Linked DNA regions of Alligator mississippiensis. The protein of the gene in region 1 interacts with the protein of each later gene in a pairwise test. Links are inferred from orthologs where the notes say so. Each region holds a gene or a part of one and is shown on either strand. Other genes may lie near its edges. The genes, in order: RAB11B and RAB11FIP2.

The links.
Region 2: the proteins of RAB11B (region 1) and RAB11FIP2 interact in binary tests that used the Homo sapiens proteins (3 or more experiments, as listed by UniProt). The link is inferred for Alligator mississippiensis from reciprocal best matches to the Homo sapiens genes RAB11B and RAB11FIP2.

What each region holds. Positions count from the first base shown.
Region 1 is NC_081839.1:10,092,978-10,109,647, reverse strand, and holds the start of RAB11B (ras-related protein Rab-11B), read right to left. Parts: upstream 8,903-16,670; 5' UTR 8,833-8,902; coding exon 8,793-8,832; intron 2,411-8,792; coding exon 2,215-2,410; intron 1-2,214. UniProt on the Homo sapiens protein: The small GTPases Rab are key regulators of intracellular membrane trafficking, from the formation of transport vesicles to their fusion with membranes.
Region 2 is NC_081829.1:88,730,074-88,746,736, forward strand, and holds the start of RAB11FIP2 (rab11 family-interacting protein 2), read left to right. Parts: upstream 1-8,074; 5' UTR 8,075-8,303; coding exon 8,304-8,653; intron 8,654-16,663. UniProt on the Homo sapiens protein: A Rab11 effector binding preferentially phosphatidylinositol 3,4,5-trisphosphate (PtdInsP3) and phosphatidic acid (PA) and acting in the regulation of the transport of vesicles from the endosomal recycling compartment (ERC) to the plasma membrane.

The DNA.
Region 1 (16,670 bases):
GCCTCAGCCCCAGGCCACAGCGGCAGCTGGGGATCTCACCCCACGCGCAGATCTGGAGGGCACACTCTCCCCGTGTCTCCCTCAGGGGTGCACACAGTGGCAAAAGTCCCCCTAACCCCCCCCCCCCCCCAACACGCCGCTCGTGACTCCATCCCATGCCCAGCTAAGGCAGCACCTGTGCCAGCCCCACTCCTTCCCTCACAGGGGGACCTTGATCTGCCCCCGCCATGCCCCTTCCCTCCTCTACAGACTTACTGGCTCTCCAAGCTGCCAGACTGCACTCCTGGCCACATGCATGTGGCATTTAAAATCGCCAATATTATCAGTCACATCGGCCAAAAAAAAGCCGATTGCTGATAATGTCTTTTTTCCTTTTATCCGCGCTTGTATGATATGGACTGATGCATCTGTGCACCTCTAATTATCAGAGGTACTGTACAATCATAGTCCCAAAGACTTAAAAACACATTTGTGGTTGCTCAATAACCCTAACAATCAGACACAAGAATCAAGTTGGATAGTCAAATCCCCACCTTTTAAAAGTTTTTTGGCCAAACATCAGAACCAGATGATACAACACCCATTTATTAACAGAGAGTAGGGATGTAAATGGTTAAAACAACAATTATGTTTAGACCATGTGCCACTTACCTTTTAGTGATTTCCAGCAGGAATGACCCCAGCCCCTTATGTCTTCTGCACGTGCCCAGCACTGTGTGGGCCCCAAACTGCTGCAAGGAGCCACAGGCAGGGGCAGCGGGTGCGGCAGAGCCAGGTGCTGCCCAGCTGCAACTTCCCTGTGTCCCCACAAACGGGCTGGGGTTGCAGACTTCTCCTGCACCCAGATCCCACCACCACGGAGAGGGAGGGAGGTGCTGGTCCCTTCCACAGGGGTCAGCCAGGGCCTTCCCACTGCAGCAGCAGGACTCCCAATCCCACAGAAGGTCTGCCTGGCTCCCCCACAGCAGTGGGGCCGTGGCAAGGTGACCAGCTACCCACACCTCCTGCCATGTTTATGCCGCCACGGTCAAGGACATTCCTGGGGGGCAGTGCATAGCAGAGCTGCACAACAGGGATCCTGGGGGGAGCATCAGGGCTGCAACAGGAGCCTCAGGAACACCCAGGGGCTGCAGTCACCACATGAGGGGCTGGCAGCAACCCCTTACACCTAGCGTCACCCACTGCAGCTGCCATGACACCTTCTCAGGTGGAGCCAGCCATGTGCTCAGCCCTATCGCAGGGCTGGATCAGACCCCGTGTGGCCCCAGTACCAGCAGCAGGAAGGGGAAGGATGCAGTGCACCCTGTGGATGCTGCCCCACCGGGACCAGACTCTGGCTTGCCGAGGGAAGGCCTGGCCCAGCAGCATAGAGGAGCCCCCCAGGTCAGGGCCACAGCAGCATGAATGTAGCAGGAGGCTCAGGGAGCCTGTCATCTAGCCTGGGCCCCGCTGCTGCGGTGGGCCTGGGAGTCTCGCTGCTGTTGCAGGAAGGCCCTGTGCAACCCCCGGGGGGTCCCAGCACCTCCCTCCCTCTCCTTGGGATCTGGCCACAGGTGAGGTCCACAGCCACAACCCCTGCCCATGGGAGCGAGGGGAAGCTGCAGCTCCTCAGCTGGGCAGTACCCCCTAGCAAGTCAGCCACATTTGCCACCCCTAGCCCACAGCTCTACGCCAGCAGTGTAGGGCATGCACAGCACTGGGCACACAGTGAAAGTGGCTGGGGCCACGGCCATCCTGCTAGATGTCACTAAACTAGGCATGTGCTATCAGTTAACCATTTAATTAAAGGAAGTTAAAGGGATAGGTTTAAAAAAAAAAAAAAAAGATATTTACATCCCTAATGGAAACCAATAATATAAACATTCATGGTTTGAAGGCAACCCATCAAGGCAGCAAAAGAGTAAGAATTTTTTGGGATTTCAGATTTACCTCACGGGAGGAAAAAAAAGAAAAGAAAGAAAGAAGCTACTTTTGCTTTGTTGGAATGAGGCTGTTTTAAAAGTTCTTCTTTGTTTCCATCTAGATCTTAAATAAGTCTTTAAGTCTTTCCATCAAGACTTAAAACTATTCCCTTTTTTATGATGCAGGCAGATTAGGGGTGTGGCTTTAAACCTGAGATCTTTTTTCAAGCAACACTACCAATAGCAGAAATGGTGCTAGCAACCTGAAAAGAAAGAAAGAAAGAAAAAAAATGTGGTGCAAAGTAGTGCTTACGCTGAGGTGATGGCACGGTATCGTTCCTGCCCTGCAGTGTCCCAGATCTGTGCTTTTATCGTCTTCCCATCCACCTGGATGCTCCTGGTGGCAAATTCCACCCCAATGGTGCTCTTACTCTCCAGGTTGAACTCATTGCGTGTGAAACGTGATAGGAGATTACTCTTCCCAACCCCAGAGTCTCCAATCAACACAACTGAAAACAAACAAACAAAAAACCCACTGTTTCCAAATTCTTACATTAAGATTTATTGAGGGAGTTACCTACGCAATCTCTCATAGCAGGAGAAGAAGTTTATCACGTGAAGCATCAAAAAAACCCCTTAAACCAAGGAAATGCCCACCGTCTGTATCAGTGGTGGCTTCTGAGCCAGAGCCGTTAACATTGGTACTGCGCCCCCATTGCCAAATTCCAACACCCGTTGACAGCCCTGCAGGCTGGATGACAGCCTGGTGTGCCACATTACTACAGTGCAAGCGTTTGTCCCATAGCTAGGTCCAGCACACATGAGTCTCTCCACAAACAGATCCAGCCCCACACTACTCATCCAATCCCCAGGACCAGAAGGCTGAGCAACACTGATCTGTACAAATCAGTTTTTCTTTTGTTACAAGAGTCCTTAAAGTAAATGATTATTTGCAATCTCATTAGCGCATCACGCAATACATGTTTCATTCTAATAACATTCCTGATCCGTAGGGACAAAGGAAATTCACATAAAGGTCAGTAATACAAAAAGGAGTCCATACAATCAAACGTTTGCCTTTATGAACAGGATCCGAAATAGACCCGCTTTCCTCTTTAGAAGTTAATCGGAAAAGACAGTTTCTAGTAGGCTTTACTGTTAATTGTGAAAGACTGGGAGAAACCCCTGACTCTACAGAACAATGTGCCAAACAAACAGAGAAATGACATAAGTAGCACTGAAGATATATTTACCACAGTCCACAAGTTTTATCAGTTTTGCTAAAGAAAATTACAGCATGAAAAAAAAAAAATGTATTGGCACAAAGACTTCTAGTACACATGCAACTTTACAATAACGGAGATTATCCAAGGTAATCATGCTAGCAGCATCCTGGATCAAACCAAAGGGAACAACAAGCACTCTCAGTGAATGGTTTTTAACTCTGGAATGCACTTCCTGTTCACTTCAGCACAGATCTGTTGATCTTCCTACCTTATTATAAGACCTGTTTTTACAGACATTTCCTGAAGGCAAGCATGGATGAGCTGCAGGTGGGGGGCAGCACTGGTTTTAGAGAAATCCAGGGCATGAAGCACTCAGTTTGTAAGAATGTACTCCCAGTCCACAGGATGGATGTTTGTTGGGTAACCTATTTATTTCTCACATTCCTGTGTTTTGGTATTAAATCATAAGTTTTACATGGGGATCAAAAACTGGTCTGAGGAGCACATGCACCAACTCCCTTCATGGCCTGTTTCATATCTTGGGATCCCACAGAGACCATATTAGCAAATTAACACAGTTGTTTTGGAGACAGAATAATAAGCCTGTTCCTGAAGTTAATCTATGCTCAGACAATAAACGACTCCGAAGTCTGAGACCAGAAGGCAAGTCAAAGCAGAAAATAATTATGTTATATACTCACTTCGGCTCATTCCACGCAAAAGAAAGGCAGCTGTATGCTGGATAAACCAAATTACTCATTGGGCACTTGGTTCAAGCTAAAGCAGAAAGAAATGCAATAGTCCAGTCTAGAAGTGGACTACTTTTACCATGTGACTTCATAGGTTACTCTTGGGAGGTCCTCATTCAAGAGATAATGGAAACCAGCTTTTCTCTGGCAGTGGGAGATGCAGTTACTGACACCAAACTGACAAAAAGATAAGTTTCAGATACTGCATCAGACTGCTCCAGTACAAAACACTGAAACCTGGCTAGTCAAAATCCAAAAGGCCTACCAACAAATAGCCTGGCCATATGAACGCACATTCCAATAGCAGGGCTGGAAAGGCGATACATGATACTTGAAAAAAGAAAAAAGAATCCAAGTATCTGGATAAGAAAATCCATTTTTTCCTTATAGTTTTGCAATTAATATTTCAATGCTTTTTTTCCCAGTTGCACTAATTTGAACACAATAAACAATTACTAGAGCAAGTTTCCAGTGCGAACTTTTAGAAATATACCCAACTTTAACAAAAAATGAACACAAGGCTGCCAAATTTGTGATGGATGATATAAAGTGTTTTTTATTATTAATAAGCCTACCTTTATTACAGAAACTTAAATTCCAATTAGATTGGTCTATGCAATTTAATAAAAGCTGGAAGCAAAAAGCATACCAAACAACCAATAGTTTCTTGACAGTCAGCACTTCTTGGCTTATACAATTTGAATATTTTGTAAACATTTTTTCTGCTAACAAACACTTTTCTTGTAAGGAAAAAATAAATTTGAAGTTTGCAGCTTGATGACTACAGTATGTTACCTCAGGGACTTTTAGGGGCTATTATAAAATATTAAAGACAATATAATCAGCTCTAAAAAGACCGACCTCAAAATATTTTTTGCGCCATTTATAACTCAAAGCAAAAGGCTATTTTTTTTAAACTGTCCACAGTCCCCAACACCCCCAATTCATTAGAAGCCAGAGTCAATTTTTTCAGCTTTGCATATTAACAAGTTTCAAGAATGACCCTTACTTGCAGTTTTAATTATTCCCTTCCTCCTGATGCAGACTCCAGCTTGTTCTTCTATTGCAGGGCTGTCCAACTTCTAAACAGCCAGGGGCCAAATGTTCCATGGATCATACACCTGTGGGCTGCAGCGCAGTGCCACCTGCTACGCCATAAATGGCCAGGCCAGTTGCCTCCCTTCCCCACACCACATACATGCACCCACTCCCACTGTTACACTGTGCACCTGCCACTTCCAGCTCAGCTTCCAGGGCTCCCGTGCACTGTGCTGCACTGCTGCAACCCTGGGGCACGGCCAGGCAGCACAAGCCAGAAGACCCTGTGGCAGCTGGAGCAATGGGGAAAGCAACAGCTGGGCAGGAGCCCAGTTGGACAGCTGTGTCCTACAGCTGGCTGTGCTAGGCAGTGCTGACTGTGGATAACATTGTTTTGGTAAATAAAAAACCCAAAGAGATCTGACTGTGAAGATGCTCAGACAGGGAAGCTGGTAGCAAGGACATGAACTTAAAAAATAATTTAAAAAAAAAGGGGGGGGGGGGGCGCTAGACAACCTCACTTATAATCTTAATGCAGGGCTGTCCCACTTCTGTGGCTGGGGGCCACAGCCCCCCTGCACCTCTCCCTACGGCACCGTGTGCTCAAGCAGCTCTTTGCGCTACACTATGCACCTAGGTAGGTGGTACACCCCTCCAAGTATGCAGCACCCCACACCACCTGGCCAGTTCACCAGCCACAGGCTGCACCTACTACGCTATGCTTCCCCCTGAGAATCCGGAAGGAAATGCCATGCCCTTGGCTGTTGTGGCCAGGGTGATGGGGAGAAGGGCAACCAAATGGAAGCCTGAAGGCAACAGATTAACCTCTCACATGCTGCACATGGCCTTTGGGCTGACAATTTGGCAGCCCTTCCCCCAAGCATGATATAAACTTAAAATTAGCTAATAAAGTCCGTTTTGTAGAGTATAAGACGACCTTTATGTCGCTATCTCTTCTACATTCCTACCAAAGACAACCACTGCCATATATATAAGATGACCACTGACTCGAGTCTTGTCTTCCACGTAAGGAACCTAAAAACTGCTGTGTAGCAACAGACCACATAGAACTTCCTCATCTATTTGATTCTTCGTATACATATTTCTTTAGCAGATACCGCTCACTACACAAAAAGTCTACTTTACATGTAGCAACATGCAAACAATCCCTTCTTGACATGCTACTCTCCCAACGCCATCTTTTTTAGACTATGTAGCTGCTAGAACAGAGATAGAGAACTCATAAAGCTGCAAAAGGAGTCAGAAGCCAAACAAAAAAAAATATCACTTGACCATTTTTTCAGTGCACCCCTTGCTATTTAGTGCTGGCAGGAAGAAAAGAAGGAAGATGGTTTTGTCCATCACCATATTACTGCCAGAAACAGACCATGCAGAATCCCCAGTTGTTCTCATATAATTACAACCAGCTACATGATTCGTGAGATCCCCAAAGTCCTGCTGCTGGAAAGGAGAAAGTTTTAACTCCACGACGAGGAGATATAAAGCAAACTTTCCCATGTTATTATTTAAGCACTAACCTGGCATATGGGAGACAGCCCCCCACTTCTAAGTCTCCAATTCATCTAGATAAGACAAGGTTTCTCCCCCCACACCTTTCATTTATGCCAACTATGGCAAATACTTAGTAGTACAAATAAAGAAATAATGATCCCTGCCCAAGGAGTTTAATATCAGATCTCAATTTAGATTTTAAAACGTTACTTTTTACAGTGAGACAAGGATTTCTTAAAGTAATATCTTTTATTGGACTAACTGTATAGTTGCCTCTTGCTTAATTCCTGGACGATCGCAGGTATAACATCACTAACACTACCATAAGATTTTATAGTGTCATGGTTCTTTAGAAAGAGCTAGTATGTGCATACATACATATACACACATGCACGCATGCATGCAATTTTTATATAAAAGTAACTTGTTTAATCATTCCTGAAAGGAAAAGCATTATAAAAAATATCAGACTTTTAAGTTTCAGGACACTAAATTAGTCGGAAGGTTAATAGTGGATAGTTGATCTAGACAGGATTTAGTACCACAACCTGGCAGCTTCACACTGAAATCAGCTACATGTAATTTAAGGGAGGTGGGGAAGAAAAAACATTTTTTCAATAATCAGCTACTCTTAGGACTGGAGAGTTTGCTCTCATTGGGCTCCTATACGTATGCAAGGAGCTGGCTCCGATGTGCTGGAAATCCTGGATTAATCGAGTCTGCTGGAGAGCAGAAATTACCACGCTTCAGCAGACTAGCATCATGTGCATGTGTCTCCATGCTGAAAAATGGTGGTGGAGTGCTTTTAGCTCAAAGTGCCCTGCCGCCATTTTTCAGCGTGGAGGATGCTGACGTGTGATGCTTGGGCACTTCTAATTAGGATGGGGGGGGAAGATGGGGCTGCTTTAATCAGCATGTGTAAAAATGTCCATGGATACTAAACATGAAAGCAGCAGCAGCAGGGGTGGAGGTTTCAAATTTTAGGACATCTATTGTTTCTCACCCATGGGTTGTTTATCATTGATTGTAGGCCGTCCTGAACCCAAGTGGGGCAGAAAACAAACCTAAATAATAAATACATTATAAAATGAGTAGGCCATGCAGGACAGTATATCTGAAGTGAATATCGAAGTAGGAGACACAGTGAAGTATTCATTTTGGAAAAACAACTGCTCATTCCTATTACCGACAGCCAAATTCACACGCATAATCCTAACCGCAGCCGTTCTCTTGAGTAACTGCAGCGAACGGCACATGGAGATGCTGTCACCACTCGCCTTATTTTGCTAGAACAGTGAATGCTACTGAGGACACGGCACTGCTGACCATCAGCATTTCCGTCTCACAGGAAGCTCCTGTTCGCCGTGCTAAACAACATGGAGCGCGCAAAGCCAAAGACTAGGGCTCCTACCACTGTACAGCTAGTGCTGGGGAGTTTGCCAAGCGGGTTATTTTAAGGAAAAAGCGTGATAAAAAAAAAGATTCTTTAGAACTTCAGAGCATCCACCTCAAATGCTTTCTGGACCTCAGACAGGATGACCGTCAGTCTCTAAAAAAGAATAAAGCCAACACTATAAATGACTACAGGCATCAGAAAATAAATTAACTCCACATTAAAAATATCTATCATTAAAAAGGCAATTCCAGTTTATCACTGTCCGACGGTGGGAACGCTGCAAGTGTACGTGGACGGGGGCACGGAAATAACTCCTGGAAGCCCAAGGTAAGGTCGGCAAGGGTTTTTTTCTATGCTAAACCTCATTTTTAGCGACTGTCTTTGGTTTAACCACTTTGGCAGAAAGTCCCACACTTAGCCCAAGGTCACTTTCTGCACCATCGGGACAAGTGCCGAAATGCGGCTTTTGAATTCACTCACTACTGAAACGTGCATTTGTTTCCTTAAAACCGCGTCCCTTTGCTGGGACGAGGGCGACCCTGGCAGCGAGTGCCGCGCTCCTCTTCTCTCTCCTCCCAGCCCTCGGAGAGGAGCTTCTTCCGCAGCAACTCGCAGGCGGTTTTCCTCCGAAGTTGTTGGGAAAAAGCCCCGGGGAGGCAGGAGGAGGCGGGAGCTGGGGACACTCGGGCAGGCCCAGGTGCGGGAAGCAGGGCTGCGCCGGGGGCTGCCCGCTCGCTGCTCCCGGCCGCACGTCGGGGGCAGCGCGGACAGCGACGCGCGCATCTCACGGCCAGGCCCGCGAGCCCTGCCCCTGCCCAGGCCGGAGCCGCCGCGGACAAGGTCAGTGCCGCCCCCCGGGGCAGGGCCCGGCCCACGTCAGGGCGGCGGCGGCGCGGGGCCCGGGGGTGGCGGTGGGGCGGGCTCGCTGCCAGGCCCCTTCCTCCCCGCCCCGCCGGCCGGGCCGCGCTACCTTTGAAGAGGTAGTCGTACTCGTCGTCCCGGGTGCCCATGGCGATGGCGGCGGCCCCGCTCCTCGGCTGCCAGGCACCGACGCGGGCCGAGCGCTGCGTGGGGTGGGGGGGGGGCGCTGCTGCCGCAGCCTATCAGCAGTCGCCAAGGCCCCCGGCGGGGCGGGCCCGGGGCGGTGCCCGCCGCCACTGCCCAATGGGAGACCGGGAGAGGCTGACTGACAAGCGGAGCAACCTATGAGCCGCGAGCGGGGGTAGGGGCGGGGCCTGGCCGCGCGGGGCAGGCTGCGGCGGGGATGTCAGCGGGGGCCGCCCCGCCCCGCCCCGCTCCGAGTAGCGGGCCCAGGAGCCCGGCGTAGGCCTGAGGCCGCCTCACTCGCCCCGAGGGCCTAGGCCCGGCTCAGCCCTGCTTGTCCCCGCACCCCAGCTCTGGCTGCGCCTGGGGCCTGCTCCGCGCCAGGCTGCGGCGCCGGCCGGGAGCGGGGCCAGGCTCTTGTTGCTGGCTGGGGCCGCGGGTGCAGGGGGTTTCTTTAAAGAAAGGAGGCGCGTGGCGGGGCTCACTTCCCAGCTCGGGCATCGCCACGCTGCCTTCAGTCAGTCGAGATGTCCGGGTTGTGTCGAGGGGGGCTGAGCTCGCAGGACGAGCCTGCTGCCTCCGCCCTGGTGCTCGGGTCTGGGGTCCAAAGGGGAGCAGAGCACGCGTCACGCCCGGGCTCTCGTTTCTGCGGCTCGGATGGGAGCGCGCCACCATCCTCCGCACACGGCGGCGAAGGAGCGGGGGTTCAAACTCCTTCCAGCCGCCTGTTATCGCTCTCTCTTCTCTCTTTTCGTTTCTCAACCTAGTTTCCTATTAGGGCCGTGCCAAACGAGTCAAAACCGCGTTGAAATGAAGCTGCCAGCAAAATTTTGCACAGCCCTGTTTCCCATCCCACTCCTATTTTCCGTCCAGGGATTGACCATATCCAGTCCCTATGCAACTTGCTTACACAGAGACAGTAATAACCAGGTTACCGTAGGGAATGTGTTCAGTTTTATTATACTACCTGGGTCAGACTGGAATATGGAGAGAGGTGTCTCTGACCTTGCGGGAGTAGTTAGTAATACTGGGTAATTCGGGGACACTGGAACTAGGCTGATATAGACAGGATAACAAATGTTACTGGTAGTGGTCGGGCACGGTATTTGGGGTAAGACGGCCAATACTTTTCTTGTTGAATGGTCATGCAACGAACAAGAGTCAATACTATTTTAGAGTTGATTTTTATTAAATAATAACCACCTTACAGAGGGTCACTTCTTGATTCAAGATGATTTTCCAGTAATTATGAGCTGTTCTGTGTAAACTGCAAGATAACCAAAATAGGTCTGCAACTGGGGTTTGGATTTCAGAAGAGCAAACTTTGAGCAACCAAGGAAATGAGTTCAAGGGACCAGTTGGATTCAGAGTTCAGGGGATTTAAATGCAGATGAGCCATGCGAATCAAAACCACAAGTACTATCTGGAAAATGTGGATAGGAAAATGTTACAGGCCAAACTGGACAAACTAGCACATTATCCAGGCATTAAGATATACAAGGAATGGATAAACAAGATTGATCAGTAAGGAGAGAGGTCTTTCCCAGGTCAGAAAGTGCAGAAAGGAAGTGATAATGCCCAAAGGCCTACATGAGTTCAAACTTGCAAAGAAAATCAAAAAATAGCAAAAGGTCTGTCAGTCATATAAATGAAAAAGAACTAGGAAGGAAACCTTTTATACCCTGACAATAGGATAGAGATAAAGGACAATCTAGATATGTCCTGAGGACTGAATGAACACTCGGTCTTCAATATGGATGAGGAAGCAAGTGAAGATAGTGGTAAAGTACAAGATGGGGATGAGGAATTGGTAATTAAAACTACCACACGTGATATGAATGCAAGACTTAGCTTGCTTCTTGTGAGGAAATATGGTACAACCAAATATTCTCCACCCCAGCATGCTGAAAGAATGGCACGTGAAAAAGCAATTTCTGTGGCACTGATCTGTCAGTTCAGGTGTAGTACCCTGTTACTGGAGAATAGCAACGATAGTGACTTTATTCAAGAAAGGTGAAAAAAATGGTCCCAGGTAATTACAGGCCCATTAGTATGACTTTAGTATTATGCATGATTTTAGAACAGATTGAAGGAAAAAATAGAGATATGGAGGTAAAAGAAAATAAGACAAGATGCGATATAATTTTATCCAAAAGCAGAGGTGGATCCAGGAGTGTGCAATAGTGCAGTCATCTCCTTTTAATTCTTGACTCACCCATACTTGAAAACCAATTGCTTGGCAAGGGCAGCGGCATTTCTATTAAGGGAGTGCTGAGAGAGTCAATTGACTTCATGACTCCTAAGTCCTCTGATTCCTGCTGATATTTGTCCACTCTGCAAGTGTTAAGGACCCGCTATCCTTTGTAATGGACTTGATGTTCCTCTATTCAACCTATCCTTTCTTCTGCAATTTTGCTGTCTATTAGCCATTCCTGAGTATGCCTCATATTTTTCACAGCCCTGCAGATTGCTTGTACCGCTAGTTAAACACTCAGGTTAAATCTGGTGTGGTAATATTAACTCGGGTGTAGAAATGACTAACAGTGAAGTATAGGAGGCACTGTCAAGATGCTCAGGAAGACTAGATTTTGTTTTGTGAATTTTAATAAAATATGCACATTTAACTATAATGACTACAGGACTAACGACACAATATCTTAGTAAAGCTTCTAGTTTCTCTCTAACTGGAGAAAAATAGGTTGTATTGTATGTGATGATGTAACATACCATCTGCAGCGCTAGGATTTTCAAAATCCTAGATCTGCCCATGTCCAAAGGAGTTCATGTCAGAACAATAACTTAGAGAAGGGTAATACAGTGGACCTAATTTACCTAAATCAGGGGTCTGAAGCTCACCTTGTGCCCTGGACTACAGGGCTCCTTGTAGGCTAGATCTAGCTCAAGGCACACTGGGCACCTATATGCATGCAATGAGTCTGCTCTGACTCACTGAAATTACAGTGTATTGGAGCAGACTTGATTGAGTCTGCTGGAGTGTGGTAATTACCATGCTCCAGTAGCCTCCAGTGTCGCGTGTATCAGTGTTTGATGAGCTTTACTTAAAGCACCCCACTGCCATTTTGAAGTGCAGGGATGCTGATACATGAGATGCTCCAAATGCTTTAATTTAGAGCAGCTTTTGGACTCACTCTATTTAAAGTGCCCTTTCCACACGCCAGGAATATGTTCATAAATGCCCTGGATGCCTGTGTTAGGGCCAGCAGTAATGAATCCAGAATGGGGCAAAGAGTGATGATGAATCCAGCACAGGGCTGCAGAGGCAATAAGGCAGTGGCGATTGCAGATGACACCAAGCTGAGCAGAGTAGTAGATAGGCTGGAAGGTAGGGCTAGGATTCAGAGTGACCTAGACAAATTGGATTGGGCCAAAAGAAATCTCATGAGGTTCAACAAGGACAAGTGCAAAGTCCTGCACTTAGGATGGAACAATCCCATGCACCAGTACAGGCTGGGGGGCTGACTGGCTGGGCAGCAGCTCTGCAGAAAAGGACCTGGTAGTTGCAGTGGACAATAAGCTGAATATGAGCCAGCAGTGTGCCCTTGTTGCCAAGAAGGCTAATGGCATACTGGGCTGCATTGGTAGGTGTGTTGCCAGCAAGTCAAGGGAAGTGATTGTTCAGCACTGGTAAAGCCACATCTGGAGTACTCTGTTCAGTTTTGGGCTCCCACTACAGAAAGGATGTGGACAAATTGGAGGGAGTCTAGCAGAAGGCAACAAAAATGGTTCAGGGGCTGCAAAAACTGGACTTGCTTAGTCTGCAGAAGAGAAGACTGACGGGTGATTTGATAGCAGCCTTCAAATGCCTGGAGGGGGGTTCAAAAGAGGATGGAGCTGGACTGCTCTCAGTGGTAGCAGATGACAGAACAAGGAGCAGTGGTCTCAAGTTGTAGCAAGGGAAGTTTAGGTTAAATAATAGGAAAAATTATCTCACTGGAAGAATAGTAAAACACTGGGACAGGTTACCCAGAGAGGTTGTGGACTTTCTATCCTTGGAGGTTTTTAAGACCCATGTAGAAGGCTGGATTGATCTAGTTGGGGATGGTCCTTTGAGCAGGGGGTTGGCCTAGATGATCTCCTGAGGGCCTTTCCAACCCTGATTTTCTATGATTTCTCTGATGGGCCAAGGAGCCAGAGGGACATATCCACTGGGGATCTCAAATTCTGCCCCAGGACATGACACCTAATGGGGACTAGACGATCCACAACATTCTCTAGTCTCCTTCCCCAGCCCTGTAGGCTAGATGAAACTGCTTGCTCTGTGAGCCAACTCTGGCCCAGAATCTGGATATTTAACACCCCTGATCTAGATTTAAGCAAGCAATTGGTATTGTGCCTCTCTGAAAAATCATAAAATCACAAGGTAGAAAAGGAGTAGCTAAAAGATAGCCTGTGGTTGATTATGTTAAAAATGGAGATTTCAGACTGGAATGGGGTTGCTAATGGCATTCTTCAGGCATCGGTTCTGGGGCCTGTTCTGTTTAACATTTTTGTTAGTGACCTTGGTGCAAGATCTAAGTACACACTCATGAAATTTGTGGCTGATATTTTTTTTCTGGTATTGAAAAATTCAGAGGAATGTAAGAATGTGAAAAGTTCGGTCCTGGGTCAGACCAATGGTCTGTCTAGCCCAGCTTTCTACCTCCAATATGGTGCTGTCTATGGGGAACCTGGGTAACTATGAGGCTGTCTACCTTTCTCTCATCTGTGCATGTCTCCTGGCAGAGTTTCATTGAGCAGAGTCTAGAGGCTGCTTAGATGCATTCGAGGGGCAGCAGGCACTAGCCTGCTCAGTGTCCCCCCTTTCCCTCCCTTTTGGGACCCTAATTATTAACTTTTGACTTGCACTCCTGTTCTTGTTCTTTCATCTGTTGTCCCCACTATTCAGTTTGTACAGGGTTAGAGGTCCCCCTCTAACTGCTTATAGTTTCCTGGTGGGCTTAGGCCCAACATTTGCATGTAGTAAATACTTCCAGTAGCGGCAGCAAAAGATGCTTTACAGAGAGAGTAGGTGCAGAATCACACCCAAATCTAGCATAATCCTTCCCTCGTCATATCATCCCTGGCATCATCTATCATGGGTTTGGGGATGTCAGATGATCCCGGATTGCTTTATGCAATACCTATTAATGGACCTGTCTTGCATAAATCTGTCTAATCCTTTTTTAACCCTAGTTATACTATCTGCCTCTGCAACCTTCTGTGGCAACAACTTCCACAAGTTACGTGTGCAGTGTAAGGACGTACTTCCTCTTGTGTGTTTTAAACATTTCTCGTGTTTATTTCAGTGCCCCCTAGTCCATATAATCTGGGGCTTTGTGAATAATAATTCCCTAGTCACTTTATTGACACTCTCCACGATTTTATAGACCTTTATCATAACCCTACTCAGCCTGCTCCTTTCCAAAACAAGGGGCCCTAGCTTTTTTAGTCACTCCTGGTATGGCAGCTGCTCCATACCTCTGCTCATTGTTGTTTCCATTCTCTCTATCTTCTCTATGCAATTTCTGTGCTGGAGATGTCTGGCGATCTCATGCTGCAGGGCTTATGCTGATTGCCTCTAGGAGCCAGGAAGATTTTTTTCCCTTATGAATGCTTTACTTGACCTCTGTTTCTGTTGCTGTTTTTCCTGGACTTCCTCTGAAGCACTTCCTATGCATTTTAAGGGATAACTTCATTTGCATTTGAGTGATTTACTACATAGGGCTGGGTGTCACGTGCCTGGCCCACTTTATTACAGTAAAGTCAGTTTACTAGGTAGTAAACATGTTTTGAATCAGCACCCTTAGTGAAGACTATGACTTCCCTCTCCTCTTCCTCCTGATTTACCAGAAAACCCTGATTGGTTGTTTATTAAATAGCTTTTTCAGGTTGTTTTGTATATTAGAAATAAACAGATCTTATTTATCTTTATTCTACTGAAGGTTTTTCTGATAGGTTGAAGAATTAGGAGGGGGTTTTATATCACTGGAAATTGAGGGTTAATAAACTGATGGAGAAGAGTTTTTTTGATTGGATTTGTTTTTGTCATTTCTTTGGGACAGGTGGCTTAGTGTTTTAGATGCTAATCTGTGGAAGACTTGGGTGTGGTTCTGCTCTGTCATGAGCTTCTGGTCTTATTGTTGGCAAGTCGCTTAGGCCCAGATCCTCAAAAAGATTTTAGATGCAAACATTGCACTGATTTTATCTGGGCCCCAAATTACTTTTGACGGACTGGGTCTTAGGTTCACTGTTGTTCACGTTCCCATCTGTCCAATGGTGACATCAGTGCTTGCGTTGTGAGGTTCTCAGCTAAAGTTTCGAGGACCCAAGATATACAGGCATTATGGTGGTACTCAATGAGTATTGTTCTGTGTGTTAAGTACAAGGCACAAAACTAAAAACACCAAGAACACCTTGCAGCATATCAAACAAAATCAGGATGGAAGAGGACACACCAGTGCCCTGCAACTACAATGACAAGGAAGCAGTATATGCTCAAAGGATAATCCTCTACCCTGCTGAAGAGTACTCACATACGATGTTGTCCAGCTACTGAGGACCAATTGTCTAGCTGTTGGATGAGGGTTTGCTACCATGACACTTTGACAGAGAAATCCCTATTGATCCTGGCCACTTGTATTAGTTCCCATGCCAAATGCCTCACTAACCCAGACATGCACAGTAAGCATACCATGTCATGTCAGGCACCTTTCAACAATTCAGAGCTAGGCAAGGTTTCCTTGCTTTCCTTCTGAGTCTCCTTGTCAGCTTTCAGAGATCATTAAAGAACTGATGTGTTTTCTGCCCCTGACCACTCTTGATAGTTGTGCACCAATATTCACCACTAGCAGCAAAATAACAGCATGGGCCACTGCCACAGAGTTCCCCACTGCTACCCTGATAGAAAGTGACTGTTAGGAGCCTCTTGTTGGCACAGAAGTGCTGACGGGGGCCATTGGGCTAGCCATGTCTGTGTGCCTCCTGATTAGCTAAAAAAAGCAGCAGAGCCCTTACTAAAGCCCACTTGAAGCAATGACCTTCATGCTGTTCAGTTCACCTGCTTCAGAATGGCCTTGCTCCAGACGGTTTGATTCCTGACCTCTGACCTTAGTTCTTACCATTTCTGAGAAGAGGAACAGTTGAGGTAGCTGGATTTTGATACCCTACCTGCACCTGCTAAGGATCCTTCAGAGCCAGGTGACCCTACAGGCCCCTGTCCTGCTACTAGAGAATCAGAGTAAGAGTAAAAAATTGAGGGGCTGTGATTTTAAAGTGAGCTGCTGAGAGGCCAGAAGGGGTGAGTTTGGGGACATAAGCCCAGCACCGTCAGCAAAGAGGGTGAGTCTGGCCCACACAGAGTTGGAGGCAGGAACTCCCTGGTGCCGACTGGTGGAAGCAGCACTGGGAACTGGGATTGCTAGGTAGGCCCAGAAGGAAGAGCTATGGCAAAGAAACCCACAGCAGTTTGGGGTGGAAATGGGAGCCAGGGAAAAAACACCCTGACTGGATTGGGAGCAGGGTGGCCTAGCACACTGGGACTGATTGAAGGCAGGGCAGCCAAACCCACTGGGACCACTGGGAATGAGAGGTGGTATGAATTATAAGCATCAAGAGGGAGAGACAATAACCAGCCTGGGTGCTCATCCACACCTGACTCCAGCTGTTGTATTCTGGTCTACTCAAACAGCCAAACTGGGGAGAATATGCCCCAAATGGCTGCTGATTGGAGCCAGGAAGCCCATGGGACCAAAGGGGACTGGGCAAAGGTGACCCAGAGCTATGTATAAAGAGAGGAACTCTCCTA
Region 2 (16,663 bases), on another chromosome or scaffold:
TTGCAAAGCCATGGAAGCAATGACCTTTCACTTTTATTGGAAGTGAATTCTCTGTTGGGAGTATCCAGTATTTACTCACAATCTGGTATAGCATGCAGTTCTGTTCCAGTGCAGCAATGAGACTCAGGATTTCTTGAGGAAAGACGCATGATTTTTCCCCTAAACCTGTACAAATTATATATATATCATGCATATAGTTATAAAATATATATATTTATAATATATATATAATTATATATAAATATAGATGGATGGATGGATAGATAGATAAATAGATCGATAGATAGATGTTTAATTTCAATGGATGGTTCATCTGTTTCAAACTCCTCTTCAGAAACTCACGTACTTCCTTTATCATTATTTGTCATGTTTATTGTGATGGCATGTACGAGTCAACCAAGAATATACTGGGCACAGTATAATCACCCCATAGTTAGATGGTCCCTGCCCCACAAAGCTTACAGTCTCAGTAGACAAGGTAGGCTCATTGTGAGGAGAAGGGCATAACACACAATCCAGGTGAACGATGAGATGACAGTAAATCTCACATGTTAGTTCCACAACTTTTTTATAGTTAGGGTGGGTTTGTTTAGGAGTGGATATAAGCTAAATGGAAAGAGAGGGGGAAAGATAGGAGGATAGGGCCGGGAGCAGCAGATGTGGAGCTGGAGAGAGGGGGATATTTGAAGCAAAGAGCCAAGCAGTGCAAAGAGAGAAAATCCAGGCAGAACTGTAGGAAGTCCTCTGCGTGCCCAGAGGTCCCTGATTTGGTGCTTATATTTCTACCAGCTGCAGGCTTGGGCTGGTTCCTCTCTGCAGTTCTCTCTCAAAGGCCACATGGCATGGTGCAGGAAGAGGCCCAGAGTACATTCAGTCTTGTTATCACAACATTGCTCCCAAGTGGATTGTGTTTTGCAGACTAGTGCCATATCTGTCTTTTGAGCTCTGAGCCCAACAAAAATACTGGAGAGTTAAAAGCTTGGGTCTATGTCATCAGAGTTAATGGATGTAGATGAAAAAGATTAATAGTTGTTTATCACAAAATAACGGGCAGCTATGTAGTGTTTAATATAGAATTAATCCTCATGTGTGCTATCCCTCTCTCTTACTCATTCTTCTGTTTGCTTGGCCCAAGAAATCAATATGAAAAAAAAGGGGGGGGGGGAGGGGGAGATTCCAAGAATTACAGTAGATTTCTGTCATTTCCATTAATTTGAAATACCCTCTCAACTCTCAACAAGTCAGCCAACAATGCATCTGATTAAACATAAGGCTTGACATTTTGGCTGCCTTTGCAATGATCTCTTTTTCTGCCGTATGCGCCTCTGATACAATTCCATTCTCTGATTTCATTTTCCATTTCATGCAGAACTGTTACTTGCTGAAGACGATCACCATGGTTGCCTGTACTGGTAGATGTAAGTGAATAAAATATAGCAAATAATTTATCCGATGAGCTAATTTTTCCATTTCTTGTGTTTGTAAATTGAGAACTTCGTGCTATTTTGGAAATGTATTCATTATTTGGAATTATTTGCCACATAATTCCGATGAATAATTCTTGTCTGGCAGAGCGCTCGTAACCTGTTTGTTTTCAACATTTTATAGTTGGCAAGCATTGGTTGACCAAACATGTATGTCATTCAGTATGTTTCTGCTTCCTGATTGGATAGTCATAAATCTTGGTAACGGTTGCAAAAACTCACATTGGAAATTCTGTTTCTGTAATGAATACTCAAATTTGAGGCTGATAATTGCCTTCTGTAAATATTAGTGTGACACTCATTGTTAGTGAGCTATTCAGTCAACTGTTTTCAGATGAGAATGTTACAACTCTGACTAACCAACCCTATCCCTGCCCTCCATCACCCATGGCACTATTGTAGCCCTGGTGCACACTTACCAGGTTGCTGCACTGGACTTAGACCTTGGGTCCAACATGCTCATGCCTTTCTGGGGGTAGGATGAGTTAGAAACATAAGACTGGAAGGGACTTCCTGAGTCATCAGACCCAATCTGTTGTTGCAATCATGGTGTCATATAATAAGGTTGAACATGAGATCCTTTTCTTAAGCTCATCTAGTTCCATTTTAAGAAGATTTAAGTCTTTGACCCATTTCTCTGAATTGGAAGGCTATTCTAGAACCTAATTGCACAAATTATTCTAATTTCTTATTCTAATTTTTCTAATGTTTAGCCTTAATTCATTTACAATCAATTTACACACTTTTAGTTAATGTGCTTATATTGTCCTGTTAGATTAAAATTGTCCTAATAGGTTAAAATGTTCTTTCCTGGTGTTCACTGCATAATGCGTTTAGAGCAGGGGTATTATACTCATCTGGCCCTGTAGGCAGAATGAGTGGCAGGGGCCTGGTCTGTGGGCTGGATTGGACCCATGAATTCCCTCTTCTCCTAGAATACCTGCTCCAGCAGCCACTCTGGCTGGATTGGAACCTGCCCCACATGGGGCGCAGATCCTGCAGTGGCTGGAATGGGCACCACGTGTAGCACAGTCCAGCTGAAGTGGGCACCACACTGGACACAGTGGCCACCCCAGCTGAACAGCACTATGTGTGGCTCCTGCCCTGGCAGGTCCAGGACTGCACTGCACATGGTCCCTGCTCCAACCAGTGTAGGATCCTTGCATGTAGTGTTTGTGAGCACCACATGCAGCACATGTCCTAGAGTAGGTGCCACATGTAGCATGGTCCAGCCAGGGTAACCAACCATGGCTACTGCTTTGGTTGGACTGTGCCACACTTGGTGTCCATTCCAGCCACTCCAAATCAGGTAGGATGGAGGAAGGGGAGGAGGTCCACGAGCCCAATCTAGGCTGCAGACCGGCCCCTCACCACAGGTGTACACCATGCCCTGTGTGGGTCTGATCAGACCCAGGAACAGCACTGGGGACTGGATGGTGGAGTTTGAAAGGTTGGATATGGTCTGTGAGCCGTATGTTTGAACTCCTGATTTAGAGGGAGCAATCCTATTTTCGCTTTCTTTTTGCTAGGATAAGAAAACCATGCTTTTTAAATTGCCTCTCATATGACAGACTCTTCATTTCTCTGATCAGAGGAGTCCTTCTCAGTACCTGTTTCAGCTTGAGTTCATCTTTTTTTAAAAAGGGTGACCAGAATTCAGAGGCAATGTCTCTGGTTCTGTCCTCTAAGGCTCACATCCAGAGTGCAGTCTCTGTCTATAGTACCCTCTTAGAAGTCTGAACCTACAGGCCAGTCGACCTAGGCCTCAGCACCAGTCCTGAATCATGACTCTTCCACAGCATAATTATACCTTCCCTTCATTGACACTCCTGCTTACACTTTGAACCTTACGAAACAGTTACAACAGTTGCAACAGGAATTGCAGACTTTGGAAAGTTAACATAAATGCATGCATACACACTGGAAATCTTTTGAGTTTTAGAGAAAATCCATGCAAAAAAATAAACTGTACATAAAATCCCTCTCTACTGGCCTCACCATTCCAAGATCGCTTTGGATTTTGGTTATGTAAGAACAGATTTTAACATTTGAGACTTTCAGTCCAGTCAGTCATGTGAGTTTCTAGCTAGCATCAAAGACCCCATTAGGTGATCTGTTCCTTGATTACTACTCACTAGAAGTCCAAACTGGAAAAACTGGTTTCTTGTAGTTTAGCCATTCTCATTAACATTCCCATTGTATTGCTAGGGCAAAGTTATTCCATATTAATGACCTTGCCTCATTCTGCATTGTTTGCCCTGTGTCAACAACACAGGTCTCAAGGAGGGGGCAGGGGAGGCTATAGGGAATGCCCTTGTATTGCCTCGCAACCAAAGTGGTGCACACACAACAAAATGTTCACATACATACATATATGCATGAAATCATCACAGACAGCAACAAGAGAAACTGTGACATGTAGATTTTGATCACATCCTGTTGGTAATTTAGAAAACAGGAGTGGGAATCACACTTAGATTAATGATCCAACCTAGTGCAAGGAGGCACACTTGCTGGAGATGGCATTCTGAGGGGAGAGGTCTTATAATAACCTATATTGTACAGTAAGACCCCTATTCCAAAGAGGACACAATCAAAGGGCACAATTGTAACCTGACCATAAACAGGTGTAAGAAGGAATAAGATGTGTGTGCAGATTCACCAGTTTCTTTGGGTGTAGACATGGAAGAAGTAGGGGTTGTATAGCCAATAACTTCCCAACCACATCATATAAGTCGGAAACTGGAAAACAAAAATGTGGAACAGGTATAACCTCAGGTGAGGTGCTGGAGGTGTTGGGAAGCAAGACTAATATTCTGCTACAGGTTTGAGAAGGTAGAGATGTGCCAGTCTAATGCACAATAATTTCCATGGGCTCTTTCTATGTTGCTTCTTATTCACGGGACATAACAGTTTACATTAGATACATCAGTATAGTGAGAAGTGATAGCATACCATGGGGGATTGAGGATGGGAAAACTACAAAAGAGCAGGGAAAAACAAAGGTTTTAACTATATGTTAAAAATGTTCGTGGCACTTTCCCCAAGAGATAGCAAGCAATTCCTGATGTCTACCTTAAATGTCAAATGAGTAAATATAGTCGATCTAAAAATCCCCTGTAGTTATGGTTGGAGAAGGTGTTCTTCATGCTTGTTTCAGAAGTAATGCAATGTAGAATGTGTCCTTTAAACAGAATTTGTATATGGTAAAATTAATTTTAAGGAATAAGCCAACTATATGTTCCTTGCTAAAGATATAATCAAGGTTTCCAGTGAACTGCCTCACTAAGCCAAGCCTTCTGCAAAACACCATTGTCAAGTCCCTATAATGCTTCCAAAAATTATCTATCATTCCCACTTTTTATAAAGATCCTGGCTAACTCTCCCTTCCTCAGTCATGGCCATTCATCCTTCCATGATGCTATGCTCTCACTATTCCCCCCTCCCAAGCCCCAGATATTCACACACATCTGGGGCAAGAAAATTGAGGAAGCTGGAAGGGATATGAAAGAGGCAAGGGATATGCATGTGTGCTTATTTGAGAAATGGGGTGTAGGTTGTAGCCGTGTCGGTCTAAGGACATATTTGAGAACTGGTTGCCCATCCTGCACGATGAATGTACAACCTTAACTCTGACCATAACCATAGTATGTCCGTGCAAGCACACATGCAAACTTACAATGATAGTTTATGCATAAAATGCTGAATGTGTAACAATCTTTTAATACAGATCATTCATTCAGGTAAGTTTTCTCAACCTTACTAGGAAAACAATTTGCAGTCTGACACCATTTCAAAGCACATACCAACACAAAGCTACATCCATTGTAACTGATGAAAGTCACACTGCCGCTATATTAATCAGCAAAATACATGAACAAATCACCAGCCCACAGTCAAAGCTTGAGGGCTCCTGGAACTTTTTTGAGATAACTGTGACAATGCAGAAGCTGTGGGCGTAAGAAATGAAGCTAAGGTTACAAAGAGGAACTGATGACTAAAATGTGGACAAAGCATCAAATGACTTAGCTGCTGATTCCCTTGCTTGTTGTGGTTTCTTTGGTGGAATGTGCAGTACTGCAACATTAAATGTGTCATTTTTTTTATAGAATAACAGTTAATACTGTGCATTAGTCTACACCCTCTCCCAAGCTTCCAGAGATCCTTTAAAACACGTTATGTTTTAAATTATTTTTTTATTTAAAATGAAAGTTATCAAGCCAGGATGACATGCAAAAAAAAAAAAAAAAATTAAAAAAACCCTTAAGAAATGGCGTTTCTCTAAACTAACATTGCAAAACCCTTAATCACAAGATGGAAATGATTTGGAAAACTTCCTTTAAAGCAGCAGAAAGGAGTGACAAGTTTGGGGTGGCTCAGACCCTCAGATTAGCTGCATGAGCCTGTGGACAGCCAGGACCCATTCCTAAACAGACACTCAGACCCCACCGTCGAAGACTGTTTTAAAATGGGACTGACTAAGTGAAACATACTGGTACTACAGGAAGACAGAAGAGGATGATGGGAAAGAAATGGCAGACCTCAACTGGTGGAAAGGGGTCTGGCATAGACTTTTACAGGAGTAGACCCTCTTAGCAGGGTAGTGGGTGGTGGGGGTATGGGTATGCAGATGGGTACATGGGTGTGCGGTTGCACGGTGTGAACTGTGTAACAGGTTTTTAGTGTGCTTTGAGCTGCCAAGTCAACCACAAGGGCCACCTGGGAGAGCGTTGGAGGTGGAGTTATATATGTATCTATCTCTATCTAGATATCTATCTCTATTTCTATATATAGAGATAGATCTATATTTAGATCTATCTATATATTTGCAAAAAAACAAAGAGCAGACAAAAAAAAACTAGCTGCCTGAGCCTTGATATGGCCTTTTAATACAGAAGTGCAGTGACTGGGTGGGGGGGAAAGTTTCACAACAGGAGCTGCTGAAGGATGCGAACGGGGGCAAACTGGGGGAACATGTTCAGTGTCTTGTTTAACCCGTGCTGCTGGATTTTTGGTTGTAGCCATGTTGGTCCAAAGCAGCTGTTCCCAAACTCTGACAGATGGCATGCTGCAAATTTAAAACAACACAACCTTATGTACCACCAGCAAATTTTTCAGTTCAACCTTAAGTACCAGCTGCAAATATTTATCATATAAAGTAATTCTAATAAATCTGTTACCTGACCAGTGGCCTGCGTACGACTGGTTTAGGGTGGTCATCAGAGAACAGTCCGGTTGCCCTCTGTCCTCTATTGATACAAAACCAGATACCTTGATGTGTATCAATAGTGGACGGATCCTCTATTGATACGAAACCAGGCACCTTTATGTGCATCGGTAGCAGATGGATCCTCTATTGATACAAAACTAGAAGTCTTTGTGTGCATCGATAGTGGACGTTTCCTCTATTGATATGAAACTGGACGCATTTATGTGTATCAATAGAGGATATATCCTCTATTGATACGAAACCAGACGCCTTTACATGTATCGATAGCAGATGTATCCTCTATTGATATGAAACCGGGCGCCTTTACATGTATCGATAGCAGACGTATCCTCTATTGATAGGAAACCAGATGCCTTTACATGTATTGATAGCAGACGTATCCTCTATTGATAGGAAACCAGACGCTTTTAAGTTTATCGATAGCAGACGTATCCTCTATTGATAGGAAACCAAACGCTTTTACGTTTATCGATAGCAGACGTATCCTCTATTGATAGGAAACCAGACGCTTTTACGTTTATCGATAGCAGACGTATCCTCTATTGATAGGAAACCAAACGCTTTTACGTTTATCGATAGCAGACGTATCCTCTATTGATAGGAAACCAGACACCTTTACATGTATCGATAACAGGCATATCCTCTATTGATAGGAAACCAGACACCTTTACATGTATCGATAACAGGCATATCCTCTATTGATAGGAAACCAGACGCTTTTACGTGTATCGATAGCAGACATATCTTCTATCGATACAAAACTGGATGCCTTCATGTGTATCGATAGCGGACGTATCCTCCATTGATACGAACCCGGACGCCTTTATTTCCTCTATTGTTCTCTTCAAGAAAAAGAGCCATCTCTATTCTTCTCTTCATCAAACATCAAGGCATCCAGTTTCGTATCAAGAGGCCAGAATAGCAGAAAACCACGATGGCCACCCTCCCGGTGGTACCCGTGCCGCACACCGGGACACGGCCGCCGCGTGCCCCCGGCACTCGGTGACCACCGCAGACGGCGCCTTTCCGCAGGGGGTGCACGCGCAGACCCCAACACGTTGCCCATGTCCTCTACGACGCCCCCTACAGACGGGGCAGCGCGGCTGTTCAAGTTCTCGACCCTCATAAAAGATGACCCAAGAGCCCGGCTGCCACCTTGTTCCCCCCCAAGGGGTGAAGATCCCACACTGTGGGGGGAATTTTCCCCTTGCCTTGGCTGTCACCTCCCCCTCCCAGGCGGTCTCCGCAGCCCGCGAGCGCGGGGCGCCCCCTGCCACGTGCGTCCGCGCTCGCCCCGCCCCCTGCCCGCAGCCCCGCCCCCTGCCCTCTGCCCCCTGCCCCCTGCCCCTGCCCGGCGCGGCGGCCTGAGGGACTGGGAAGGCGGAAGTGGCGGCGCGGTGCGGCGCGGTGAAGCGCCGGCCCCGGCGGGCGGGCGGGCGGAGGCCTCTGCACATCATCCCCGCGGCTGCTGATTTGGGAGAACCCCCCCTCAGGGTATGAGCAGCGGCTCCTCGTCTGCTCCGGGGCCCCGGGTTTAAAGCCCCCCGCGCCGGTTTGTATTTGCCCCCCGCCCCGCGCCGGCCGAGAGGATGCTGTCCGAGCAAGCCCAGCGGTGGTTCCCCACCCACGTGCAGGTCACGGTGCTGCAAGCCAAAGCCCTGAAGCCCAAAGGCAAGAACGGCACCAACGACACGTACACCATCATCCAGCTGGGCAAGGAGAAGTACTCCACCTCGGTGGCCGAGAAGACGCTGGATCCGGTGTGGAAAGAAGAGGCCTCGTTTGAGCTGCCGGGATTACTGGTGCAAGGCAGCCCCGAGAAGTACATCCTCTGCCTGGTGGTCATGCACAGGTCGCTGGTGGGGCTGGACAAGTTTTTGGGGCAGGTGGCTATCAATTTGAACGCAATCTTTGAGGACAAGCAACGGAGGAAAACGGAGTAAGTGCCCTTTTCGTCTTGTTGGGCTGGCTCGCGTTGATCCGGCTCCGTGCCCCAAATTAAACCGAGCAGGTGCATAACGCGCTGTCCTGCCGGCGGGACCCGGGTGCGGGCGTAGCTGCCCCGAAGTCAGCGGGGCTTTCGGACATCTCCGTCCTTTAAAAAAAAAATGTTATTTTTAATATACGCTGTGAATGTTATGTTTTTAATTTTTCTCTTGCTTCTGAATAGTGCCGCTGTTATCAAGGTGGGCGGCAAAGTTTGAACCGGGGTCGCAACTCGGATTCGTTCAAACTCCGTCATGCGTGTCGCATCGCTTTGCCTAATATAATATCCGTATTGGATTCGTTCAAACTTTGTCGTGTGTCGCATCACTTTGCCTAATATAGTCTCTGTTTTGGATTCGTTCAAACTGCATCATGTGGGTCACATCAATTTGAATAAATCTAGTACAGGCGTTATATTCGGCAAGCTCCATCACGTGTGTCGCATCACTTTGCCTAATACAGTGTCTGTTTTGGATTCGTTCAAACTTTGTCGTGTGTAGCATTACTTGGCGTAATATAGTGTCCGTATTGGGTTAGTTCAAACTCCATCATGTGTGTAGCATCACTTTGAATAAATCTAGTACAGGCATTATATTAGGCAAGCTCCATCATGCATGTCACATCACTTTGCCTAATATAGTGTCTGTATTGGATTCGTTCAAACTTTGTCGTGTGTAGCATCACTTTGCCTAATATAATGTCCGTATTGGATTCGTTCAAACTCTGTCATGTGTGTCACATCACTTTGCCTAATATAGTCTCCGTTTTGGATTCGTTCAAACTCCGTCATGTGTGTCACATCACTTTGAATAAATCTAGTACGGGCATTATATTAGGCAAGCTCCATCATGCGTGTTGCATCACTTTGCCTAATGTAGTGTCCGTATTGGATTCGTTCAAACTTTGTCGTGTGTAGCATCACTTTGCCTAATATAATGTCCGTATTGGATTCGTTCAAACTCCATCATGTGTGTCGCATCACTTTGAATAAATCTAGTACGGGCATTATATTAGGCAAGCTCCATCATGCGTGTCACATCACTGCCTAATATAGTGTCTGTATTGGATTCGTTCAAACTCCATCATGTGTGTAGCATCACTTTGCCTAATATAACGTCTGTATTGGGTTTGTTCAAACTCTGTCACGTGTTTAAACTCCATCATGTTCAAACTCATATAGTGTCCATATTAACATCTGTTGCAAACAGCGTGATTCTAGTTTGTCCAAGCTTATTCATTTGGTCGTCTTTGAACTCTGGTTCAAGCTTGCCGTGGTAGCCTCGTACTTTTCTGATGCTCAGTAGATCTTGGGCCTTAATCTTGCTTGCTACTTTATGCTGCAGGCCCATGCAGAGTAACTGGTAGAGAAGTTTCTGCTCTAGCAGGAACTTCCATGAGTTTTGTTAAATCAAATTGTGATTTTTTTTTTTCCCTTAACAAATTCTGAATGCCAAATGGAAATAATGGCTCTTTTAGGTTTATAAATAGCATTTTGTGCAGTAAGGGTGCTTAATCAAGCACAGCAATGTAAAGACTGATCAACACTCAGATCTTTGTTTTGTAATACTAATTTAAATTGTGCTGTTAGGGCTCTGTGTCTTTTTTTTCCCCTTTTTTACTAATTAACTGTTATGGCCCCTAATGTGGCCACAGTTACATTGGCATAAAGGTACCAGCATAGGTTATTCCTGTGCATTTATGTTAAAAACTTGTATACGTATGCAGAGCTTTATAGCAGAGTAGCTGTCTACATTAGAGACGTATTGTTTTAACTGTACTGGCCCCAAACACAATATAGTTAAAGCTCTAAGTCACTAGTTTCTACATTTTTAGACGAGAGGAATGCCTTGTTCGACTCAAGGCACCCCTCCATAACTTCAGAATTGAGCAGCATCCCATTTCAAAACCTGGTTAGATGGGGACGAACCTGAGCCTGCACTTACCTTCTCACACCTGCTTTTCTCCTTGCGGCATCCTTCAAAAGATCTTGCTGCACCCCAAGGTGCCCTGGCACCCTGGTTGAAAATTACTGCTTTAAGTTAAAAATATGGTTTTGAAACTCTGGGCCTGCTTGCATGCTTTCTACTCCAATGAATCAATGGTAGGAGTGTGTTAGGGTGGCATGGGTACTAAGGTGCACGGTTAACAGCCCAGAGGTCTCAAGTTTGAGGCTGCCCGTAGCATGGTCTGTCTGATGCCAATGAATCTGAGTTATGCTAAATACCTTGTCACAAAGGCACAGGAAAGGAAATTTGCAAAAGCAAGGTGTAACTTTATAGATTGAATGTACTCTTTTTTTTTTTTTAACATAAACTATAACAAAAATTGTTCCTTGTCTCACTGTCTTGACTTCACAAACTGAGGTAATTAACAGGGTTTTTATGATAACTGAATTAAACTTTAGGTCTTTTTCACTGTTTCTTTTTTGTGTATTTGTGGCTGTCACAAGTTTCCATATCCCCTATATCTTAGAGCTCTTACTGTCAAAGTCTGATGGAGAGACCCTTGTACTGCATTTCATAGCACGTGAGTGGCCTACTGCAGTCCTGCAGAGCCTCACTGAAGTCAGAGCAGTTCCACAAGAGTACCAGAGTCCACTGCTATTTACCCATTTTAAGACTGGGTCTATGGGATAAATTATTGCCCCATTTTCCAAGTCACTTAGGTACCTAGGAGGCTCAGCTCTTTAAAAATCACTGAGACTTTGGCTTTTAGGTGCCCAAGGGCCAGATAGACTCCTGGGTGTATTTTTCAGTAGCCCCTAGGCATCTAACTCCCATTTGAAATCCGTGGGAAAAGGTATTTAGGTGTTTTTGAAAATCCCACTGTATACCTCTCTGCATCTTCAGGTGTTTCAACTGCATTGAAACATCTGGCAATAAACCATTTTTTGGAATAGGACTTATGCTTCTTATGAACATATGTGCTTTTGAAAATTTTACTCTGAATGTGTGCATACATGTTAATGCTGTTTCCTGTTACTCCTGATTTGGAGATCTATGCATGTTTCAAAGAGGACAGATCTGTGCATGTGTGTGTGAGAGGTATGTAGATGTGTGTGTGTATAATATGAATTTAGCCTTTCAAATAAAATGAGTGTTGTTTACATTCTTTTCTTTCTTGACTTTCCTTTTATTAAATGCCTATCTTCATATAATATTCTGTTAACTTTGTAATTGCCACTTGACGTGGGTATGGTATTTTCAGACATGAACTTCAATTCCAGTTATGCCAGTGGGAACCAAAGCTGCCTAGTGTCTCAATATCAGGTCCATTGTTCTTAGCTGCGTAGAAACCTCATACCTAAACGCTATTTTCTTTGTTTCAGAAACACTAATCTGTTTTATTAAACAATGTTTCTGCTTTCAAATATGTTCAACAGGCTTGTGGTATTATTACATCCAGAGTGATTTTTCTTGTGTTGATGTAACCTTAACATTTCTTGCTTTGTTTGGGGATAAATGAGATCCAGTTATTTGATGAAGTGTCTATTGGTAATATTTCTACTTTTTAATATATTTAATAGCTTCCTCTTTCCAACACAGCTGTACATATGGTGCTGCAACAGACAGACTCAAGAGTCACTAGAGTATTACAAAAAAGATATTTAATATTCTGCACAATGCTGAACCTTGTCAGCAATTCCCCAGTGCTTTTTAGAAAATAGGTATGAGAAGTGAAGGCTACCAGCTGATTTTGAATTCCTAGGAAAACGGCAGGGTATGTGACATGCAGGTCCTATTTTATTAGACAGAAGTATGTTTACAGATTCTCTTCAGCTTCAAAAACACATTATGATAGGAAAAATGGGCTTTTTTCATTAAGGTTTTTTTTATGTGCTGCCTGTGACACCTTAGGAAAAACATGCAAGTTTTTCAAAATACTCCAAGCAATAAAGTTTTCAAGCAGAGGCATAGCGATAGGGCTTGTGCATCATTCTGGCTCTAGACTTAAGAAAATAAAGCAACATAATTTGATGGAAAAAATCTTACATAATATCACACAGTGTATTTTCTCTTTCTTTCCGCAACTGATGATTTTTCAAACTCATGAAAGTGTTAGTTATAGGAGTGGCTGGATCCAAATATGACTCAGTCACTTTCCAACTTTATTTCAGACACCTCAGCCAATGCACCTGCAGTACTGTTATTTTAGCACTTCCTTGGTAAGAGAGTGCCAGTCGTGTAGTGGCAGCGTGATGATTTGTGTATTGGTCCTTTGGGACCTCTAATATGATCATCAACTCCTTTTACGTGTTCATTTTGAATCCACATCTCCACAGGTGAAAACCTAGAATATTGATCCACTGCATTGTCCAGGCTTCATATGCAAAGTTGTTGTTTTTATATTTTAATATTCTCACAGTATTGAAAAATGCTCAGATTTATTTAGAAGACATCTTTGGAATAGGACTTCTCATTAAGATTTCTGCTATCCATATTAAAGGAGCTATTTTAGCAACTGGTAATTTTGTTTCTTTTTTCCATTCCTATATACAATAAAATTTTAAAGCCAGGTGTAAGTTCTTATCAATGCTTCTGTTTATCTATAGGTCACTTCTGCCCAAAAGCTTTTGGCACCCAACAAAGCATGACATAAATGCTGATAATTTGATGTTGCCATATTTTTGTACAGTAGTAACTTTTAAAAATGTTTGCATTTAGTTCTTATTCTTGTGTGCCGAATTGATAGAGCTGTCTAAGAATAAATTTTGACTCAGTTTTGCTTTTGATGTTACTTGTTCCGTTAGCAACTTCTTCTTTCTTGTCACCATCTACCTCCATGCCGTTTATTACCAATTCCTTTACTGCTTTTCCTGGAGAATTAATTTATTACACAGAGTTATACTTCAAAATGCAACATTTATCTGAATTGTTATAACTTGGGCTTCTCTGTTTCTCACTGCAGTTTTGAGGATGATTGATGCTTTATTTCCTTTTTGTGACCTAACCAGCAACAAATCTTTGCTTGACACTTGAAAAAAATTATTTAGATTCATAGTTTTAAAAAAGTATGTATCCCAAGCCTGTGCCATTGATATAAAATAGTCAGATGAGAGAGTCACTGGTAGATTTTGCTTATTTGAAACCAATAGAGTATTTAAAGATGAAATCAAACCCAGTCAATATATCCTGTTGTGCAAAAGGTTGTCATTTTATTGGGCTCGCGTGTCCTTAGTAGCCTTTGTAAAAGTTCTTGTGGTGGGGCCTAATTCTTTTATCGATAGAAGAAGGCTGTTTCAAACCAGTGGTTCTCCCAAGGTTAATAACTGCTTTTGGTGAACGTCCCTTTGAACAGACACCTTACTTTTATCCTGGGGGGAGTTAGGCTATGGGGTCTTGACTGTAGTTGTGTCTGGATGACATGGGAAAGAGGCAATTTCTGAAAGAGGTATCTTCCAAAAGCAACCTTAAATTCAACCCTGAAACTAATTACCAGTGCATATCACTGTGAATGGTTGCCCTGAGCTTTCTGTTCAGCTTCTCAGAATTTTTTTGTGGTTGGTGCCTTTTCTGTTTTTAAAAAGTGAAAAAAATAAAACACAACAATTTTTACCAAGTTTAACCCCTTTGACATTACATAACACTTTGGCTGCAAGAGGTAACAATCATAATATTGTGATGGGGTGAAGAGTGGGGAGGTGGGGGCCGGACTGTCTTAGAAGCAATAACTTTGATCATCCAGTAGTATCCCCAGAATGAAAACTTGAACAATGAATGGGAACATATTCTCTTTTTAGGCGAAGCAAAGGTAATTCCTGCCACATCTGTAGAGACTCAATCCTCACATTTATAACCAGAGTTATCTGGATTGGATTCTATCCAGTCTTCAATTTCAGTGACATGTTAGGGGCTGGTGTGCATAGAAATTCAACCTGAAATGATTATGTTGGTCTCTGTTTGCACTTTTAGTTATTTTAGTTCTACAGCAAGTCTACTTGTGCAGTCTTGAACCAAAATAAGTAGTAGTGTAAATTAAGGGCAAATCAGGTTTTTAGATTCTGGCTGGTGTTAAATCCAGAGTCAAACATTCTGGTTTGTCTCTATTAATATGGCTTTTGTAATGGTGCGATACTGCTGTTGTATAATTTATTTTTAAATTCTACATAGTAGTATTCCACACATTGAATTTGCGTCCAGAAATAATGGCATTCATTTCTCAAAATTTCATCATAAATCTAATTTTAATAATCCATTTTCCCTTCTATTTAATATACTTAGTGATGTACAACACTCTCCTTTTTTGTCCTCGGTGTATACTTATAAAAGTGGTCTAACACACTGGTACGCTTTTTGTTTTAAATTTCTAGATTATTATGTAGAATCAAAAGCTTTGGAACCACAGGGACTACGGTTATTGTATTTTGGTGTTAAGCTCACTTTTGCAAATCAGCTTGCATATTTAAAATCAAACTCAGGATTCATGCACCTGATTTTAGACTCCAGTTTTTAAACTCCTTTAAATTTTGTCCTTAAAAACAAAGTAAAACGAACTGAAATCTTTAACTATTTCACTGGTAGAGAGGAGGTAGAGAGAGATTTTACGAAGTAGTGTGCTCATGGGACAAACCTCCCCACTCCTATTCAGGTCTGGTAGTAATAAGAAACTGATACAGAAGACCAAATTTCACTTTCAGCCACATGGTGAGCATGCTGGTCAACAAGGACCCAATCCATCTTTAGTAGAAATGCTCTCATTGCCTCTTCTGGGAATGGTATTAGCCTTGATGTGTAACCAAATTTCCACAGGGATTTCCTCTACCCATAGCTTTATTCGAATAGCAAACAGAGTATTTTCAGTTAAACTCCTTCCACCAGAGAACAGGACTCATAGTTGGAACTAAACAGTCCTGTGGCTTGGAAGAGAGAGATAAAGACAGAAGGAAGCACAGAGGCAGTAATGGGACCTGCCACCAAGAGCGGAATAGAGATAAAGTCTAGCAAAAGAGGTTGTGTGCGAGGGAATTAGAATTGAGCACGCAAAACGAGTTGGAAAACACAACAGAATTAGAGAAATGTGCAATCAAAGAAAGGGGGGAGAGAGAGAGAAAGGAGCAGTTTGAGAATCCTGTCGAAAGCACAAATGCACTTGTAGATCCGTGATGCATTAGGTTAAGGTTTGAATTGCTGTTTCACTATTGCTGCGTTTTGTACACAATGTGCTGGTTGCTGGAGTGTGCATTAGAGAAATAACTGACACCTTTCAAATGGTCAGAAACTCGAGGGGAAAATCTTAAGAAATGGAGATGAAAAGATAACAAGGGCTGTTCTGATGGAGGTATGAAAGGAAAGGAAGAAGAGGGGAAAAATAGGAGGAGGTAGGAAAGGACATCTTTCTCCAAAGAATGCAAGGAGTTTTGGATTGGATTTAGAAGGTGAGGGGTCTGCCTTTGAAGTTGAGAAAATTTGCCAGGCTTTATGTTAAATCTATTTTTAAAAAGAATGTAATATAATTGTTAAATAGAAGGGCAACTGCTCTCATAAAAATGCCCCTTTTGTTTATGTAGATTGTTGGCTCTTTTCCTACCTTGTGTAAGCTTTCTATGGAGTCAGTTCATGGCAGTCTGACAATTGCAACATTTACTGTGGTTGAAAGTGCTGTAAACAAAACCAAAACAACAAGTTTAATAGTGTTTCCTAATACGTTATCATTTAAAAATTTGCAGTAGGGTAATGGAATTTAGTATTTGAAGATCAATATAGCGTTTTCAAAAAGCAGCATTCTTTATTTTCCAGCTCTTTCTCTTGGATACAGTGCAGTTTTTCTGCTCCTTCCCCTTTTATACTATAGGAACAGGATCTAATGAGAAACATTCATAGTCTCAGTATTATTGCTTGTTCACATTCAGCTTCTCACAAGACTTATTACTTTACATTGACTCTCATCATTGTAAAAATTATATATTTCACTCTGAATAAAAAAAATATCAGTTGAGTTTACTTCTCATATTCTCTTGTTTGAG